4 linked regions of the Drosophila melanogaster genome follow. The protein of the gene in region 1 interacts with the protein of each later gene in a pairwise test. Each region holds a gene or a part of one and is shown in the gene's direction. Other genes may lie near its edges.

The links.
Region 2: the proteins of gce (region 1) and Mst98Ca interact in a two-hybrid assay, tested with the Drosophila melanogaster proteins (one large-scale study listed by BioGRID).
Region 3: the proteins of gce (region 1) and CG15422 interact in a two-hybrid assay, tested with the Drosophila melanogaster proteins (one large-scale study listed by BioGRID).
Region 4: the proteins of gce (region 1) and CG43896 interact in a two-hybrid assay, tested with the Drosophila melanogaster proteins (one large-scale study listed by BioGRID).

Annotation. Positions count from the first base shown.
Region 1 is NC_004354.4:15,295,786-15,300,791, forward strand, and holds the start of gce (germ cell-expressed bHLH-PAS), read left to right. Parts: upstream 1-1,980; 5' UTR 1,981-2,151; intron 2,152-2,251; exon of another isoform or gene 2,252-2,432; intron 2,433-3,223; exon of another isoform or gene 3,224-3,798; intron 3,799-4,723; exon of another isoform or gene 4,724-4,837; intron 4,838-5,006. Other genes in the region: CG5877 (uncharacterized protein), read left to right, coding at 1-768.
Region 2 is NT_033777.3:28,289,392-28,293,160, forward strand, and holds Mst98Ca (Male-specific RNA 98Ca), read left to right. Parts: upstream 1-1,946; 5' UTR 1,947-2,067; coding exon 2,068-3,072; 3' UTR 3,073-3,265; downstream 3,266-3,769. Other genes in the region: Mst98Cb (Male-specific RNA 98Cb), read left to right, coding at 3,524-3,769.
Region 3 is NT_033779.5:4,003,043-4,006,230, forward strand, and holds CG15422 (uncharacterized protein), read left to right. Parts: upstream 1-1,941; 5' UTR 1,942-2,013; coding exon 2,014-2,328; 3' UTR 2,329-2,628; downstream 2,629-3,188. Other genes in the region: CG34176 (uncharacterized protein), read left to right, coding at 1,089-1,340; CG15423 (uncharacterized protein), read left to right, coding at 3,071-3,188.
Region 4 is NT_037436.4:11,974,565-11,979,147, forward strand, and holds the start of CG43896 (uncharacterized protein), read left to right. Parts: upstream 1-1,546; 5' UTR 1,547-1,599; coding exon 1,600-1,606; intron 1,607-1,665; coding exon 1,666-1,931; intron 1,932-2,009; coding exon 2,010-3,836; intron 3,837-3,938; coding exon 3,939-4,103; intron 4,104-4,170; coding exon 4,171-4,350; intron 4,351-4,420; coding exon 4,421-4,583. Other genes in the region: CG14125 (uncharacterized protein), read left to right, coding at 358-364, 411-1,195.

The DNA of each region.
Region 1 (5,006 bases):
ATCGAAGTGCTGAATAATCGTCGTCATAAGGAGGCTAGAATGTGGCTCAATGACCTGCAGAATAACGAATTTGGTCCCGAGGCCGTCAAGGACAGCGAAAGAAAGCGTTTCCTTAGGGAGCAGATCATGGAAATACAGATGCTACATCTGCGTTTGTCCTTTTTAGTATTTGGCGAAGTTGAATTCTATACTGGATTCAAAAAGATCAAGCTACATGAACTGCTCGAGAATGGACTCGAAGAGTTTCCACGAAATATGGTGTTTCTACAGCTGTGGGCCAGCTTAAAATCGATTATGTGGCACAAGCAGCGTAGCCGGCTCATACGCACCAAAGCCGGCATCGCTTCACTGGCGCACTTGGTCGTTGCGATTCACAATCGCTTTGGAATCGTAGATACCAACGATAAGTTTTCAAAGGAAGCCACAAGGAAGATGGTGTGCAATCGTTTGGTCAGCATTGTCGAGACTTTTCTCCCGACCAATTTAGATCGTTTGGATGTGGAGGAAGAGCATTATCGCATACTGCGCAGGAACTCCATCTATTGGCGCTTGTACATGATTGCCCTATCCAAAACGAATGCCTCGTTTAGGCGCAGCAAAGAAGTCCTTATAATGGCCATGGACGAGTGTCCCTGGGACAAGTCACTACTGATGGAAGGCGCCAAGGTTTTGCCAGTGAAACTAGCATCGCTACAGGACCTGATGACCGAAAAAGAGATTCGCATTTTCGCTATGCCCGAGGAAGTGGACGTCTTGAGGGGCTTTTAAGTCGCTTTGGTTTTATTCGTTTGTTTTGAGGTTATTTGCCATTCGGGCGACTCGATAAGTTCGCATCATAAATATATTTATTTCTTCAAACAATCTAGTTCTGAAGTTTGCTTCAACTTTAAGTTAACTGGCGAAATTGCGATAAGCTGTTTGCAGTTATATGCGTACATGCATATTTTACTACATATATCCTAAATCGCTTATCAGAATTGGCTCACTAACAAATTCAGAATTAGCGATTTTGCTACTCAAAAATACTCGCCGTTCGATTATGTTAAAAAAAAATTCCAACACTTTATCGCTCGTTGCTGTGCAAGGAAACCAGAGTCGCATATCGAATGTCGGAGATTAGTCCAACTTCATCTTCTGGCCAATCCGCTCCCCCCGAATCCAGCATTTTCTTGTGTTTATTATTTTGATTGTGTTTATCGCAAGATAACCGAACAAAACTCATAAGCCAAAACAGCGCCGAAAGAATCACTGCGCACCTGAGGTCGCAATTGTAGCACCTGGAAGCTGTGAGACGAACTAAATACAACATATTTGTTATGTCATTTTCATATCGCTGAAATGAAACATATATTGCAAATAGCTTATTTTTATATTACTGAAATTTAAAATATATTGCAAATAGTTTATGGTTCTGTTTATTTAAATTTATTAAATCATTTAAATATGCAAAAGAAATTAAGAAGTTTTCTACATTTGTAAATTACAAATAAAAATATTTATATTCCTATTTAGCTATGAGTAGTTTTAACAGCTAACTTGTTAAATATTGATAAATTTAGATTTAATATGTACACATTAAAGGATTTGTATTAAATGACATGAATGATATTGACGATAAAATGATTGATATTTTGTATGCGATCTGTTTGTGTGACCGCAAGTGTGGTGGCCAAGTTGCGTGAGCGCGAGCGAGACGGCTGTGGCTGAGTGTTGACTCGTCTCGAATGTTGCGTATGCGCCCTGTCTGCCCAGCCACTTAAGACTCCTGTGCGTTACTGTTGCTCTTTGGAAAAGCGTGGAAATCGGGAGAGGAAACGCTGTGATTGGGCAGAGGGGTAGTGGGGATGAAAAGCTCCGCTCGCCGAAACGCATCGAAAGCTGTCTGAGCGCGAGAGTCCTGGCTGCTGTCCATTCGCACGTCCGTCTGTTCGCCTGCTCGTCCACCCATCCGACATCTTTGGACCGGGCTTCATCGATGGCAGTCGGTCGGCATCTGTCCAAGTCCCACGACGCGTTGTCGCTCCGCATCGGCCGTTGCTGCAGTGGAAGCGGCCCGTTTGGCCAAGTGGCGTCTCCGTAGTCCCTAGTCTCATGGCGGCGGAGTCTCCTCTCAAGGTTTCCCAGGCACTCCAGACCGTTTCCAGTTCCTAGGTTAGTGCTAGAGCTCGGAATATCTGGCCAGTATCAGGCCAATCCATATATAATAATATATACATACATATATATATATATATGTATATATCGCTATAACGGCCGAGTGTTTTTTGTTCCATTTCGTTTCGATAGCGAGTGTAATTTTTTTGAGAGTGCTCCCCCGTTCTAAGTCGTGTGTGTGTGTGTGTTTCTCTTCCTGTTTGGGTGTGTGTGCTGCGATGTCTCTGTGTTGGTGTAGAGCAGAAGCAAGAAGAAGCAGCATTGTGTAAGACGCCAGCGTCAAGTTCGTAGACTAAACACCAACCTTCTTTTGCGGCTCTACTCTAGCAAAGGGGAAAAGCTTTTCAGAGAGGAAACTCAGAAAATGAGAAAACGATAGAGACAGAGAGCGCAGAGAGTCAATGTGCACTGCTAGAAAATGTGGGGAAAACCAGTTTGCGAGCATGCGATTCGTGACAGTTTGCATATTTTTTAAGCATCTTTATCTCAGATTTCCAAATCTATAACTCAAATATTACTAAATTTATTACAGATAAGTGTAATCAAAATAATTGATAGCTTATTATTATTATTATATAATGCTTCCTTGGAGATTGTTATAAACAGAGGAGATTCAAGTGATTTTTTGTGCAAAACTCTAGTTTTAGCAACGTTTTCTTTTTTCCCGGTGTACTGGGTGAGCATGAACTCGCCGAGGGTTTCCCGGCCGGAAACCTTAGTCAAGGTCTCGCCAGCTTTCCAACGCAGGTTGTTGCTGCGCTCTCGCTCACACTCGCTGCTGGTGGGCGTTTGGCCAATCGCCATCTCTGTCGCACCGCTGTCGGTGACGAGCGAAGCTTTTATTGTATATTTCATCTTTCACGCTCTTTTCCCTGCCATTTCTGCTTCTTTGGGGCAGCGGCACCTAGAGCGGGAGCGGGAGCGGAGTGGAGCGTGAGTGGAGCGTTAGCTTTCCGGGCAGCTGATTCGCGCTCGGCTCGGCTCTCCGCTGCCGTTGCCGCTGCCGCCGTCGCTGCTCCGCTCGTCGTCTGGCTGATTAGTTTAGTTTGTGATTTCAATATATGTAATTAATTTTTGTTTCTGTAGCGGTACGGACGGACGCGTCGCGACGTTCGCTTGGTCCGCTTGGTGTTCGTTCGGTTCGCTTGGAGCTTGGAGTTCGAATTCGGTTCGCCAGCCGTCGCTGTTTCGTATTTATTATTATTTTTTATTTTTTTTTTATGAGTATATTCGTATTTCGCATTTGTATCTGAATGTTTCTTTGGCTCTGCGTACGTGTGTGAGCGATTGTGCGAGTTTCCTTCTCTTTCAACTTGCCTTTTTCGTGGTCGCCGCCGCTGCTAAAATGCAAAGAACACGCTCGAGCAACGTAAATGGCGCCGCGTTAACGAATGGAATTGGATTATCAAACAGTGCCCCCCAGAGCCCCATATAAAAGTTGAAAAAAAAAATAAAATAAAAAACAAAACGAGGAATTAAAACCGAAATAAAACAGGCAACAAACAAACTTCGTTTTGACAACCCCCCCGCCTTTTTTTTTGTTTGCGTGTGTGTGTTTTGTGCCAGTGCTTGTGCTATAGTGTAAAAAAAAAAGTTTGAAACAACAAACCAAAAACGCGCTCGAGGGGAAATATTATCAAAAAGGTAGATGGCGGTGACCTTAAATCATATAGTAATTATAGGGCTATCTTCCAGTTGGACAGTTTCAACAACCAAACGTTGGTGTATGAAAAACTCCAATTATCCTATTATACGACTAGTATGTATATTCATAAGCCCAATGGGGCTTAAATACCGCTGTTGGTGTGTTGTTGAACAAGCTTGAACAAGTATTTTTTTGTGCTCTACGTTGGTGCATTGGAGTGTAGATATAGTTTCAACAACCGACCAACCACCAAGCGCAAAATTAATATTGTTGAAACGTTCGAGCTTAGCAGCTGTTGGTGAACCGTTGTTGGTGTATTGTTGAGTGCGCGGCATTAGATGCTGTTGATCAGAGTACTTTTGGTACTCTTGTGATCCTGTTTCATTTCCGTTTTTGTTCACTGATTTCGATGTTTTCTTGTGCAGAGAATTGGTTTTATATGGTGTAGCCTACGAGTACGAGCATATGTGCTGAAATCAGCGGCGCGTGCGCGCATTTTTGCGCGATCGAAACCCGAGAACGATTCAGTTTTTTGTTGAGTTGGGAAAAGTTTCGATTTACGAAAAACATTCCCACTGTCTGTGTTTGTCATCCTTCGAAAATCTGCTTAGCCAACATTAACGTGTTTGCCCATCCACAAACACATACAAATGCATACAAAAAAAAAACTATCACATTCGCATCGACACAATCAATGAGGCAAGACAAATAAAATTAACATATTAATGAATTTCCAGTTTCTTTTTTCGACTTATTTAATTTTTTAATAAGAAAAGAAAAAACAGAAAAACAAAACAAGCGTGAAGAACTCGAGTCTCTCGACTTCGGCATACCCAAAAAGCACGAAAGCGGGAAGTGTGATTATGGCCAAAATTCCAGATCTGCGCTTTAATGGGTGTGCGAAGATCAACGGATTCCAATGAATATAGATGTTATATGGCGGAGCACTTTATGATGGGTTCTTAGCCTCCCTTGAACTTGTGGGCAGCATGGAAAGAGTGCGATGGAACTGAGCTTTGGATGATAATAGCAATAAAAGTAAATATAAATAGCCCAGCATCAGGTATTTGTTGGCAACAATTTTTCAATGATTTACCAGTTCCGAGTTCCGATCAATAAAAGTGTTTTTTTTCTGTTTTTTTTTTTTTTGCTATTCGGTTTGGTTTTTTCTTTCCAATTTTTGTTTTTTGTTCGGCTGCTTTGCTGC
Region 2 (3,769 bases), on another chromosome or scaffold:
CCGATAGAACAACGATCCATCAGCGTATATGTCTGTGAATATATATATGCTGTGCGCAGCCCATAAATAAATATATAAATTTAAATAAAGGCCGCCGCAATACCCGCACACTCACAGTTTGTTTGTCAATAAATCAGAATACTTATCAACGTCAAAGTACCGCAAAGAATGTGAGCAAACAATAAGAACTAAATGTGTGTGTGTTTCAGGAGGTCCATCAGTTTATTGGGAACTATTAAAGTTATTTATGAAAATAAATGGAATACCTACAACTTAAAAATAAAACCTTTCATTGAGCTACAAACATTTCTACACAGTGCCTAAATTATTCGACAAATGCGCCTCTATCTTGACTCCAGCAGGCATTGTGGGTGCCAATTTATGGGCAATCTGTGCTTATTTTCCCATTTCCCAGCCCAACATTGTTTTGGGCCTAGTCCCGAACTAAGTCCGCTAATTGCGCCGCCTTAGCCGGGCCATCTCGACCGGGTTTCGGGGAAGGCCCCGTCCATAATTATGCGAAATGTGCGCCATTTCTTCGGACTGTTGCCTGTTATTGTTTGCATTATTAGCTGACAATTTCGGTGGCACTGTGATGCCAAGTGGTGGGTCTGTGATTAGGCCGGCTCTTTGGGCTCTGGAAATTGTGGGATTAGCAGGCGCTTTGTCTGTGGCTAGAATCTTGGTCGGGCACCATCAGCCTGTCGCTCGATAAGCGCTCCAGGGCAACTCGAGTCCAAGAAGTTGATGTTTTTCTTGCATGATTACGACCATAAGCCAACGGCGTGTTATTGCAGGCCAAAGAAGTGGACGGTTTTCTTGGGAAACGCCCGAGTTCAAATCGATTGAACCAATGTTGCTCTTTAAATTGGTTTAATTTAGACATTTATTGTATCTCAACTTCCTGGAAGCAACTTGATTAAATTTCCTAATTTAAATAACCGGAACTATTGGACAGCAACTAATTCTGAAGAGCAAAGGCCATCTAAAATATCGCTTGATTTCTTAGCTATCACTAATGTGACTATCAATTCGAGGAAATGAAATTTTGTAGAATTAATAAAAGTCGTGTGTTATTAAGAAAATATTAAAACGTATTATATTTATTGTTTGAATACCAGAACGTTTCTTATTCCGAGCACATATTGTAGCGTTTGCCCCTCGCTTTTGGCATTTAAAATGGAGCAAATATTTTAGAATTCACCTGAATCGCATGCAAAAGCCTTTGTCAACATCAATGGTCCGCTGTGACCACGCTCTTTGTTGTAGTTTTTTGTGAATGCGCAATTGTTCAGTGTCGTCATGGCTGTGGCATGCACAAAGCGCCGATTGCAACGCCCATCCATCCACCCAGCAACCCCCCCCCCCCCCCACCTACTAAAGCTTTCAGGATATGCCATCCAACTACCAACTACCATACCGACCAAAACGCTTTTTTTTCGGCGCTGACATGTCCAGGCACTGGGGCAAAAACAAACCCATATATGTATATTCAATAGGCCGGGCGCTGCCAGAGTGTTTTCCGACGTTTTTCTGTAATTCGTTGTAGGTTTTTTCCAAGTTGGCTTTCGGCCGGTCCGAAAAAAGCGGCCTGCCTACATAAAGGCGCTAGCATATTAAAGGCTTAAACCCACTCAACGGCAGATGCCATATTGTTGAAATATATGCAGATACGTCGCGCATACGTCATGTGAAGATGGAATCCGGTTTGCAAAATGCATTCCATTCAAGCAGCGTTCTGTGATTTTTCATTGCAATCGGTTAAGCAATCGAATCCACCAGATTTATGTATTGTAAGCATATATTTCCATTCAAAGCTCAAAGCGATTTTCACCTTACCTGCACAACAAAAACACTACACTAGGGTGTGATCGTAGAGCTCGGTTTTTCAAATTTCGATCGAAGTGGGCCTGGATTATTGTGCAATGCTGTCGTCCTACTGTTATATCTCATTCAGTTTCCTGTTTCGCTCCGAATAACTTCCAAATTGAACAGTAAAAATTTGTAACAAAAATAAAGTATAATATTTTTCTAGAAATTTTATTTTGGAAAACTTAAGTCGAAAACATGTGCTCTCCGTGCGGTCCTTGTAGTCCATGCGATCCCTGCTGCGGTCCCTTCGAGTGCTCACCCAAGTGCTATAATGCCGCCCAATTGGAGGCCTTGCCACAATGTGCTCCACGTATTCCACCTCCCTTCCCCAAATGCATCACCGTGCAGCAACCACCACGCATGATCTGCAAGAAACGCGTGGTGTTCACGGAGAAGATTGTGCCGGAGCCAATGGTGGTTAACCGATGCAGACAGATTACCATTCCAAAGGTCGTTGATGCCACGCGGGTGATCAAGGTGCCCAAGCTGATTTGGGTGTCGCAGATGGTGCGAGAACCCAGAGTAATCTACTACCCCTCGATGATCCCCGATCCCTATGTGGTGTGCTATCCCAAGCGCGTCTGCGAACCCCGGGAGGTGTGTCAGTCGATCCTGTGCCAGCCGAAGCCACAGACCATCGACATTCCGCCGCCAAGGGAGTACTGCTGCTATCCAAATGGACCCATCAACTACAAGCCCAGTGCAGCGTGCCCACCCTGCCCCATTGGACCATGTGCTCCTGGAGGACCCTGCTGTCCGCTGCCCTGCTTCTCCACAAACCAGTATCCCGTTGCCGAGGGTAGGTGCGGACCCTGTGGACCTTGCGGTCCAGGATGCGGACCCTGCGGTCCGCGATGTGGTCCCTGCGGACCCGGCCCGTGCGGACCCTGTGGGCCGAGATGCGGTCCGGGTGGACCGTGCGCCGTGCCCAATTGCGGGCCCTGCGGCCTCACAATGCCGTCGGGTCCGTTTGTCCCGGCTCCGTGTGGACCCTGTGCTCCATGCGGGCCATGTGGACCGCTCGGCAATAGTCCTTGCGGTCCTTGCGGACCCTGCGGACCCTGTTCGCCCCCGTGTCCGTACGAGTCACCCGAGTGCGGCCCCTGCTACCCGTGCGCCCCAACTCCCTGGAATACCCACTGCGGCCCAGTTGGTCCTTGCGGTCCTCAAGTGCCTTGTGGACCCAGCGGCCCCTGTTAACATCATCGTTGTGCTGCCTGGATTGTTGTCAGAAACCGGTGCCCAGTGGACCAACTTGTCTATCACCAATACAGATTGCCATAGTGTATTCTCGCCGTTCTGCTCAAACACCACCAAAAAAGTCTACAGTTCTCTATACTTTGTCAACGCATGGACGACTCATTGGCTGTAAATAAAAATCGGATTTATGCATATATAAGGTTTTTTCAATTTCTTTTGACAGGTTATGCAATGGTTTCTATCCAGATAAAATTTTCTACCAAATTTTTGTCAAATAGTAGGCCTTGCCTCTGCTTGTCAATCTACCTATGTTCGTTACTCAGGCTTAGCTCGCATTTTGAATCCGGTTTCGCTTCGATACACTTCTAAATTTCTCTGATCAAATTTTATAAGAAACAAAAAACAAAAATTAACTTTTTACTCTTTCGGTTTATTCTAGTCGAAACTTAAAATGTGCTCTCCGTGCGGTCCTTGTAGTCCATGCGATCCCTGCTGCGGTCCCTTCGAGTGCTCACCCAAGTGCTACAATGCCGCCCAATTGGAGGCCTTGCCACAATGTGCTCCACGTATTCCACCACCCTTCCCCAAATGCATCACCGTGCAGCAACCACCACGCATGATCTGCAAGAAACGCGTTGTGTTCACGGAGAAGATTGTGCCGGAGCCAATGGTGGTTAACCGATGCAGGCAGATCACC
Region 3 (3,188 bases), on another chromosome or scaffold:
CGCCCCACCAACGCAGCGCGCCCACAAAAGCTCAGTCGATATGTTGCGCGTTATGCGGCACTCATTTCCTTCCTTCTTTTGCGTCAGTTGAAAACTTTGCCCGAAACTCGTTTGCCACTTTGTGCATGTTTAACTTTTTAGGGCAAGCACCCTTAACCCTTAAGCCGTAACCCTTAACCCCAGTTCCTTGATCGAAGTGACAATTCAAAGAGCGAATGAAATGCGAAATGCAGCACGAACCACTCAATTAAGTACAGCCAAAAAGGCTGCCGCTCTCCTGGTTGTCAAATCGAATATTCCGAATTTTATTTGATCAAGTGATTGAGATTCAGAGAGTCCCGAGAGACTTTTCTTGATTGACCGTCAGAAATTACCATGTTTTTCTATCCATACATTTAATATTTACCCACGTCGCCCCTCGAGGCAAAATCGTGTCTGCAAACTTTGCATAATAGACGTGCAAATGTTTGCCAAATATTTGCCGGCTAAGGAAAATGTGTAAAGAATTATTGGGAATTTTTCGGGGCTGAAAATTGGATAAATATTTGTGGCTTGACAACATTTTCTCAAGCTAAAGTTTGTTTTCACTAGAGTTAAGGAATTTAATCGCATTTAACCAAATACAAATATTTGCACGTTGGTTCATTTCCTTTCTTCGTGACAACGAAATACTTTATTTCTTTTTAAAACTTTAAACAAGTATTTACATGACTATATGTAAGTTAAGGAGAAATCCCCGGAAAAAACCAAACATGACTCATTAAAGAAACGAGGAAAATCTATTGATATGCAGGCTCAAATTTGAATTGAAAAGCTTATTCGAAAAAAGCTTTACCATTTGCCAATTTTCAGTTTATTTATCGATAACTTTGCTCTAGAAGCAATACTTTCGTCAATAGAAATAATTAAGAGTACCTACCTACCTATTCGCTATCAGCAAATGCTGATATTGAGCTTTTTTATGACGGCAAATATTTTGGCGTTTGTTTGGTTAGTCAGTCCCATGAGTTGGGCATTCGCTTAATTCAGTTACCAGCGATAAGTCGACACATTTGGACGGACTTTCTACAGAAGATTAGTGCACCACTATGCCACCACCACCCCACGATCATTGCGGCGGACCGCCTCATCGTCGTGGACCCGTGATTAAGGTACAGATTGCACCACCATGGCCACGCCGCCATCACCGCCCACCACCCCAAGTTGTGGTGGTGCAGCAGCAGGCTCCGCCACCGCCACCAGTCATGGTGGTGCAACAGGCGCCTCCGCCACCGTACTACCAAAATCCACCACCACCACCACCGCCCGGCAGCAGCCACTACCACAATCCACAGTATTGAGAAGGAACTTTGATCTGTAAAATCCTTCACAATGAATTTATACCACGTAGCCTTACTTAACAACTATATGTCCTCAATAAAGTATAACCTTATAAACTAAGTTTTAGTTTATAGTTTTTAGTTTTTTTGCATATTTGTCATGAGTAATGGTTGAGTTTCAATCGAGTTGATTCCATCACACACACTCCCTCTTTTTATTATCAAAATCTCTAATCCGTGTTTTTTTTTTTTAAGTCTTTATCGGAACACCTGGTTAATTTAGACGGCAATCACTTGTTGTTTTGTTAATGTCTAGCAAAACTTTAATTCATTTTCACCAATGCTCTGTCAATGCTTCTATGCTCCTATATCAGAAATAATAACGCGTTACCCATAGATAAGCCGGAATCAGTTAATATAGTAAACAAAATGCGAGTAAAATAGCGAAACCCGATCACCTGTAAATGCACAACTGTCCGGTCGCTGTTATCAGACCTTGTCGAATGACTAAGCCATCTTATCTTTGCCTCTAACCACTGGAATAATTCCCACAAACCCTGATTGATGGAGCTTCGCAGTTCCAGTTTGTTTCGAGCTAGACGTGTTGTGCCACGGACTTTCCAGTATTCAACGCGTTGCTGGGTGGTGAAGTTGGTTCGGTTGGCTGGTTGATTATTTGGCTAGTTAATCAACTATGCGGTACTATGAAGATCCATGTGGCTATCCTCCTCGCCATCACCATGGTCGTCCAAATATCGAAATTGATGTGGTTCCCGGTTGGGGTGGCGGCTACTATCCGCCGCCGCCTCCGCCTCGGCCCGCCGAGGTAGTCTACATGACCCCGGCGGCTACCTATGTGCCCGGCACACAGGTGATAATGCCGCAACCCTACGGCGGCGTCACGGTGGCCACCACCAATGGATACTATCCGCAGCAGCAGCAGCAGGCGTACGAGTATCAGTACCAGTATCAGCAGCCCTACAACAATCCACCGTATCCGCAGTGGTGAACGAGGTCGGAATGGAAACGAAGCCATCACCACTAACAAAAAAAAAATATACTATCGATGGAGTGAAGGAAGGGATAGATAACAAGAAATCAAAACAAATATCACTTTGTCCTAATCTTAAGTTGAAATGACAACGCAAATGGTGCAATGGTCTTGACATTACGCACCACAAAGTTAACAAGTTAATAACCAGAGGAAGGTACAAAAAAACAAAACTGGAATTTAACTTTAACCGTTTCAAAGAAAATATAATTGTGCTATATAACCTTAAAACGAAATAAATAAAATATCTTGCTCTTCAAAAAACCTACCCGTCTTTAATTCTAAAAATATTCTAAATACTGCATTATCGATTTTATTTATGTTTATGTAATTTAGTGTGAGTCATCAATCAGAAGCATGGAATTAAGTCCTTCCTCTTAAATATAAAATTGTGATTCATGGAAACCTTGAACTCTCCTCATGAAATTCAATTCGGAATTTCGTATTTATCAAATGGCACTTATCAATTTTATTTTTTTTTTATCGAAAAAAACACATTTATTCCACCTGACAAGATAACCAACTAAGCTACTGTGCAAAACGCACATAACAAAATTAGGAAAAAAAATTCCCCCTCATTAGCGATAAAAATTGACTTAAATAGTTAAGCAGGCGAAGAAGCAAGTTCAGTTCGAGAAAGCAGTCAAAGGCATTCACTTCACCCACTAAGGATACAATACTTGGATAGTTTCTGAAGAAAATGCCGTACTACGAGGAGGAACGTCGTCATCACCATCATCACCATCACGGTGGAAGGCCAATTGTAGAGGTGGACATTGTGCCGCCAAGGATTCCTCGACCAGTGATTGAGATCGGAG
Region 4 (4,583 bases), on another chromosome or scaffold:
TCTAGATAACCGGAAGTTCAAGGGTTACGCATTACCATATATGTATATTGTAACAATAAAAAATGGAGCATCCATAAATAAATTTAAAAACATTACAATTCGATTTTGTAGATTTAACGATCTTGTTTCTGATTAACCAATTATAATTGTTTCCGTTTCTCTAATAAATATTTCATTATCAATCAAGTTATTGCAGTCTTATCATGTTTGGACAAGATAGTGATAATGAGTACACTTTAGTGACTTGTTGTATGCTAATTAAAGGCTGAATGAAATGCAGCTCGAAATGCTATAAATGCACCGCCCACTGCAAGTTATTCATTGGTTTTGGTTTGTAGATCACCGATCGTCGCTGCAATGAAGTGTAAGTACCTGAAAAGAAAATGAATATTATTTTTTTAATATTAAAGACAAACGCTTCTGGGTTTCAGTGGTCTGGATGTTGATGTCCTTGCAGCTAATGCTTTTGGCAACTGCTCTTAGTGCCAGGCAATGTGTCAAGCCAACTGCTTCACCAAAGCCCCCTGAGGATCCTGACGACCCCACTGATGATCCCTGGGATCCCACAGATGACTCATCGGAGGACCCATCCGATTCGACCGATGAACCATGGAAGCCCACTGCTAAGCCCACAGTAGTACCAACTGAACCGCCCTCGAACATTACATCTACTGAAAATCCATCGGAGCCAACTGAAAATCCATTGAATCCCACGGGAAGTCCCACCAACGACGAACCATCGGAGCCAACCGAAGAATCCACTGAAAATCCATCGGATCCCACAGGACAGCCCACTGGAGAAACGTCTAATCCATCAGATCAACCCACTGACAGTCCCACAGGTCAACCGACTCAAGAAACAACTGAAGAGACTAAAATACCGGCGGGGGAAACCACCAATGAAGGTACTTCGGATTCCACTGAAGAGCCCACTGGAGAACCATCAATTCCCACGCATGAGCCAGAAGAATCCTCGGGCGATCCATCAGATCCGACAAGTGCGACCACCCAGACAATTCCCAACGTGGATGCGAACGCCTCCTGTAGAGCTCATCAAGGTGTGCAATTTCTGCCACATCCGTACGATTGTCATTTATACATACATTGCGATGGAGATATTGGATTCATCAAGGATTGTCCAAGTGATCTGTACTGGAACTCGGTAAACCAGACTTGCGACAAGACCTGTGCCTAAGCAAATAAAGTAAAGTAATGTACATAAAGTACAAATAAATAGCATGCTCTCAAAAAACGTTATTTTACCTATCTGGCTTTTCTTTTAACTTTTGAGTGATCTTGAGGTGGAACAAGACCTTGCTCGTGACATTCATTCATAACTTTGCGAATTCCAAACACCAAACTTTGGGGAGTGTCTACACTGAAATAGGTGATGACTTCCAGGAATTACAATTCCCAAAGTTCACACCTCAATTAGACTGACATGAAAGGGCCATGTCTAACATGATCGGCATAATTGATAGAGATAAGGGACAATTAGAGTCAGTCGAAAATAATGTGGTATATAAAAGGCACTAACTTTTTGGCAATTATGTGGAGTACATCTCGATCATCACAAGTGGAATAATAGAAGTGAACAAGATGAAAGGTGAGAGTGTGAAGTACCCAAATAGTAACATGGACTCTAGTTACTTTTCTCGTATCCAGCTACTCTGCTCACTGTGGTGGCACTCACTGCAGTGGTTGCCCTAGTTGGAGCCGCCGATCCTGAATGCATATACCGGAGGACTAGGAACCTTCCGATGCACTGGCCGAAACCCCTGAACTGTTCCTCCTACTACCGTTGCACCGCCAAGAACGCCGTTCGCACGGTGACGTGTGCACCCGGCAAGGAGTACAACCCCAAGAATGGCAAGTGCACAATGGCAGGACGAAGTCTCTGCAAGCTGAGTCTTTTAGCTCCACTCGCTGAGGTAGGTTCTAGATTCGCTTTTAGAGTTAGATAAAGACCCATTTATCCCAACCCTTAACTTCTATCCGAACTTCTGTAGGCCACCAATGTGTGCTCCACCGAGGTGAACGGAGCGTACATAGCCAATAGTGGTTCTTGTGGCGAGTTCTACATCTGCGACGAGCAGATTGCCTATCCACAGAAGTGCGATTTAGGAAGCTTCTTCAATGAAACCCTGGCCGCCTGCATACCGGATGCAAACTCCACGTGCTGGCAGAACCTGTGCATCAATAAGACCAATGGTGTCTTTGTCGAAAATGAGGCGAACTGCGGTAGCTACTACGTGTGCTCCAATGGAGAAGCCACTCTTCAGACTTGTCCCCAAGGCAGCTTTTTCAACACCTCAGTTGCCGCCTGTACTGTCGATCAAGGAAACTCACAATGCTGGGTTAACTACTGCATTGGACAGGATGATGGGTCCGCTGTGGCCGACAAGTCCAACTGCTCCTTGTTCTATGTGTGCTCCAACAATACGGCTACTGCTCAAGAATGTCCCGAAGGAAGCTATTTTGAGAGTAATAACTGGGGTTGTGTTCCCGGCACTTGCACCACAGAGTCACCATGCGATGATTCCACAACCACTACCACTGAATCTTGTGCTGAGGAGACAACGGAACCTCCGGCATCCTGCGATTGCGGTGATATTAAGAACGCAGACTTCATTCCCGATGAAGAAAACTGTCGCAAGTACTTCATCTGCATTGATGGTGTCCTGGTGGCCGCGGATTGCGGCAAGGGTAACGTGTTCAATGCTAACCTCAGTGTTTGTGAAGTTGATGCTGACAACACTTGCTGTGTGGCGGATTGTACAGATGGCGAAGCAAAAGTGGATCCCCAGGACTGCACCAAGTACTTCAAGTGTCAAAGTGGCGACTGGACTTCCGTTTCCTGTGATAGTGGCAGTTATTTTAATGAAACTCTAAACTGCTGCCAAGTGGATGTGAATAATGTGTGCATTGATGCCAAGAGCAACTCAACACAGATTCCCACTACCTCAACCGTTGAAACTAGTTCCGTTGACAAGTGCAATGCCAAGGATCCTCCAGCAAGTGGAAAGAACTGCTGGACATACCAGCACTGCATCAGTGGCCAGTGGGAGGATGGCACTTGCCCCAATAACACCTACTTCGACGCCTCCGTTGGCATTTGCCGCGAGGACACCGAAAATGTCTGCCCGGAAAACAGATCGAGCGGATCGCGCCAAAAGCGAAGTGTGGAGGACTGCACCTGCGAGGGAGGCATCGCGCAGGGAACCATTATAGGTCACTCGACAGACTGCGATAAGTACCTGATCTGCGAGAATGGTCAGTTGGTAGAGGGTGTGTGCGGGGTGGGCAATGTCTTTCAGAAGTCCAGCGGCATCTGTGTTCCAGACACCAAGGCCACCTGCTGGGTGTGCTCCAACAAGCCGAATGGCTACCAGATGGCCGATCCGACCGACTGCACCAGCTATTTGACCTGCTGGAATGGCCTGGCCACAAAGCACACATGCGGCTCCGGCGAGTGGTACAACGGCGATGGTAATTGCGTCATCGATGTGAATGCCAAGTGCATCAACCCATGCTCCTGCGGCAATGGCAACGTGGCCCATCCCATCTGTACCAATTACTTCCAGTGCACGGACGGAGTGCCCCAAGTGAAGCAATGCGTCGTTGGAGAGGCCTTTGATTCAGCAACTGGTCAGTGCTCCACTACCGTAGAGTGCTCCGCCAAAAACTGCGCAACCGCCAGTGATGGCACCACCTACCCTGTCGCTGGAGAAACTGGCCAGTTCTACGTCTGCCTCAGCAACGAGGCCACCATTCAACCCTGCCCGGTTAACACTGGTTACTCCGCCGCCCTGGGTATATGCCTGGACCAACCCAGCGTAAGTTAAACAAATTAATTAAGAAGTGAAAAAAGATCGATAAGTTTTACTCTTTCTATATTAAGTTTATCCAAAATACCTCGTTGTTTTCATCAAATTTAGCCCGATTGCGACCAGACCATTTGTAACAGTGCCGCTGTGGACTCGACGTATCCATCTAACGACAACGATTCGTCGACCTTCTGCCTGTGCCGGGATAGTGGTGCTTATATTCAATCGTGTCCAACCGGATTGTTCTACGACGCAACGGATCAAGTCTGCACATTCGTAAGTAGTCGCCAGGAAAAATACGTAACGCGTTTCCAATAACTATCCTTTTATTTCGCTATTACAGTCCGGAAACTGCGATCCTCAGGTCTGCAATGACCAGTCAGAGTACTTCGTCTCTCCGGACTACGAAGACCCGAACAGTTTCTGCTTGTGCCGCGCTGGCGAACCCATCACTGTTTCCTGTCCAATTGGCTACACTTTCAATACCGAGGAGCTCGAGTGTGTTCTTATTCCACTGCCAGATGTAAGGCATTTAAATCCGTCCTGAAGTACATTGAACATGAGTTGATGATTTATTCAAAATTCTTTTACAGCCCCGCTGTTGCGCCAATGGATGCTCAGGAAAGACGGACTTCTCTACTTTTCCAACTATTGAAGGTACCGACGGCTTCTGTCTCTGCGTGGACGATGTTCCCAAGTACATTAGCTGTCCGGAAAACTCCCAATACGATTTGGAGCTAGGTGCCTGCACCGCCA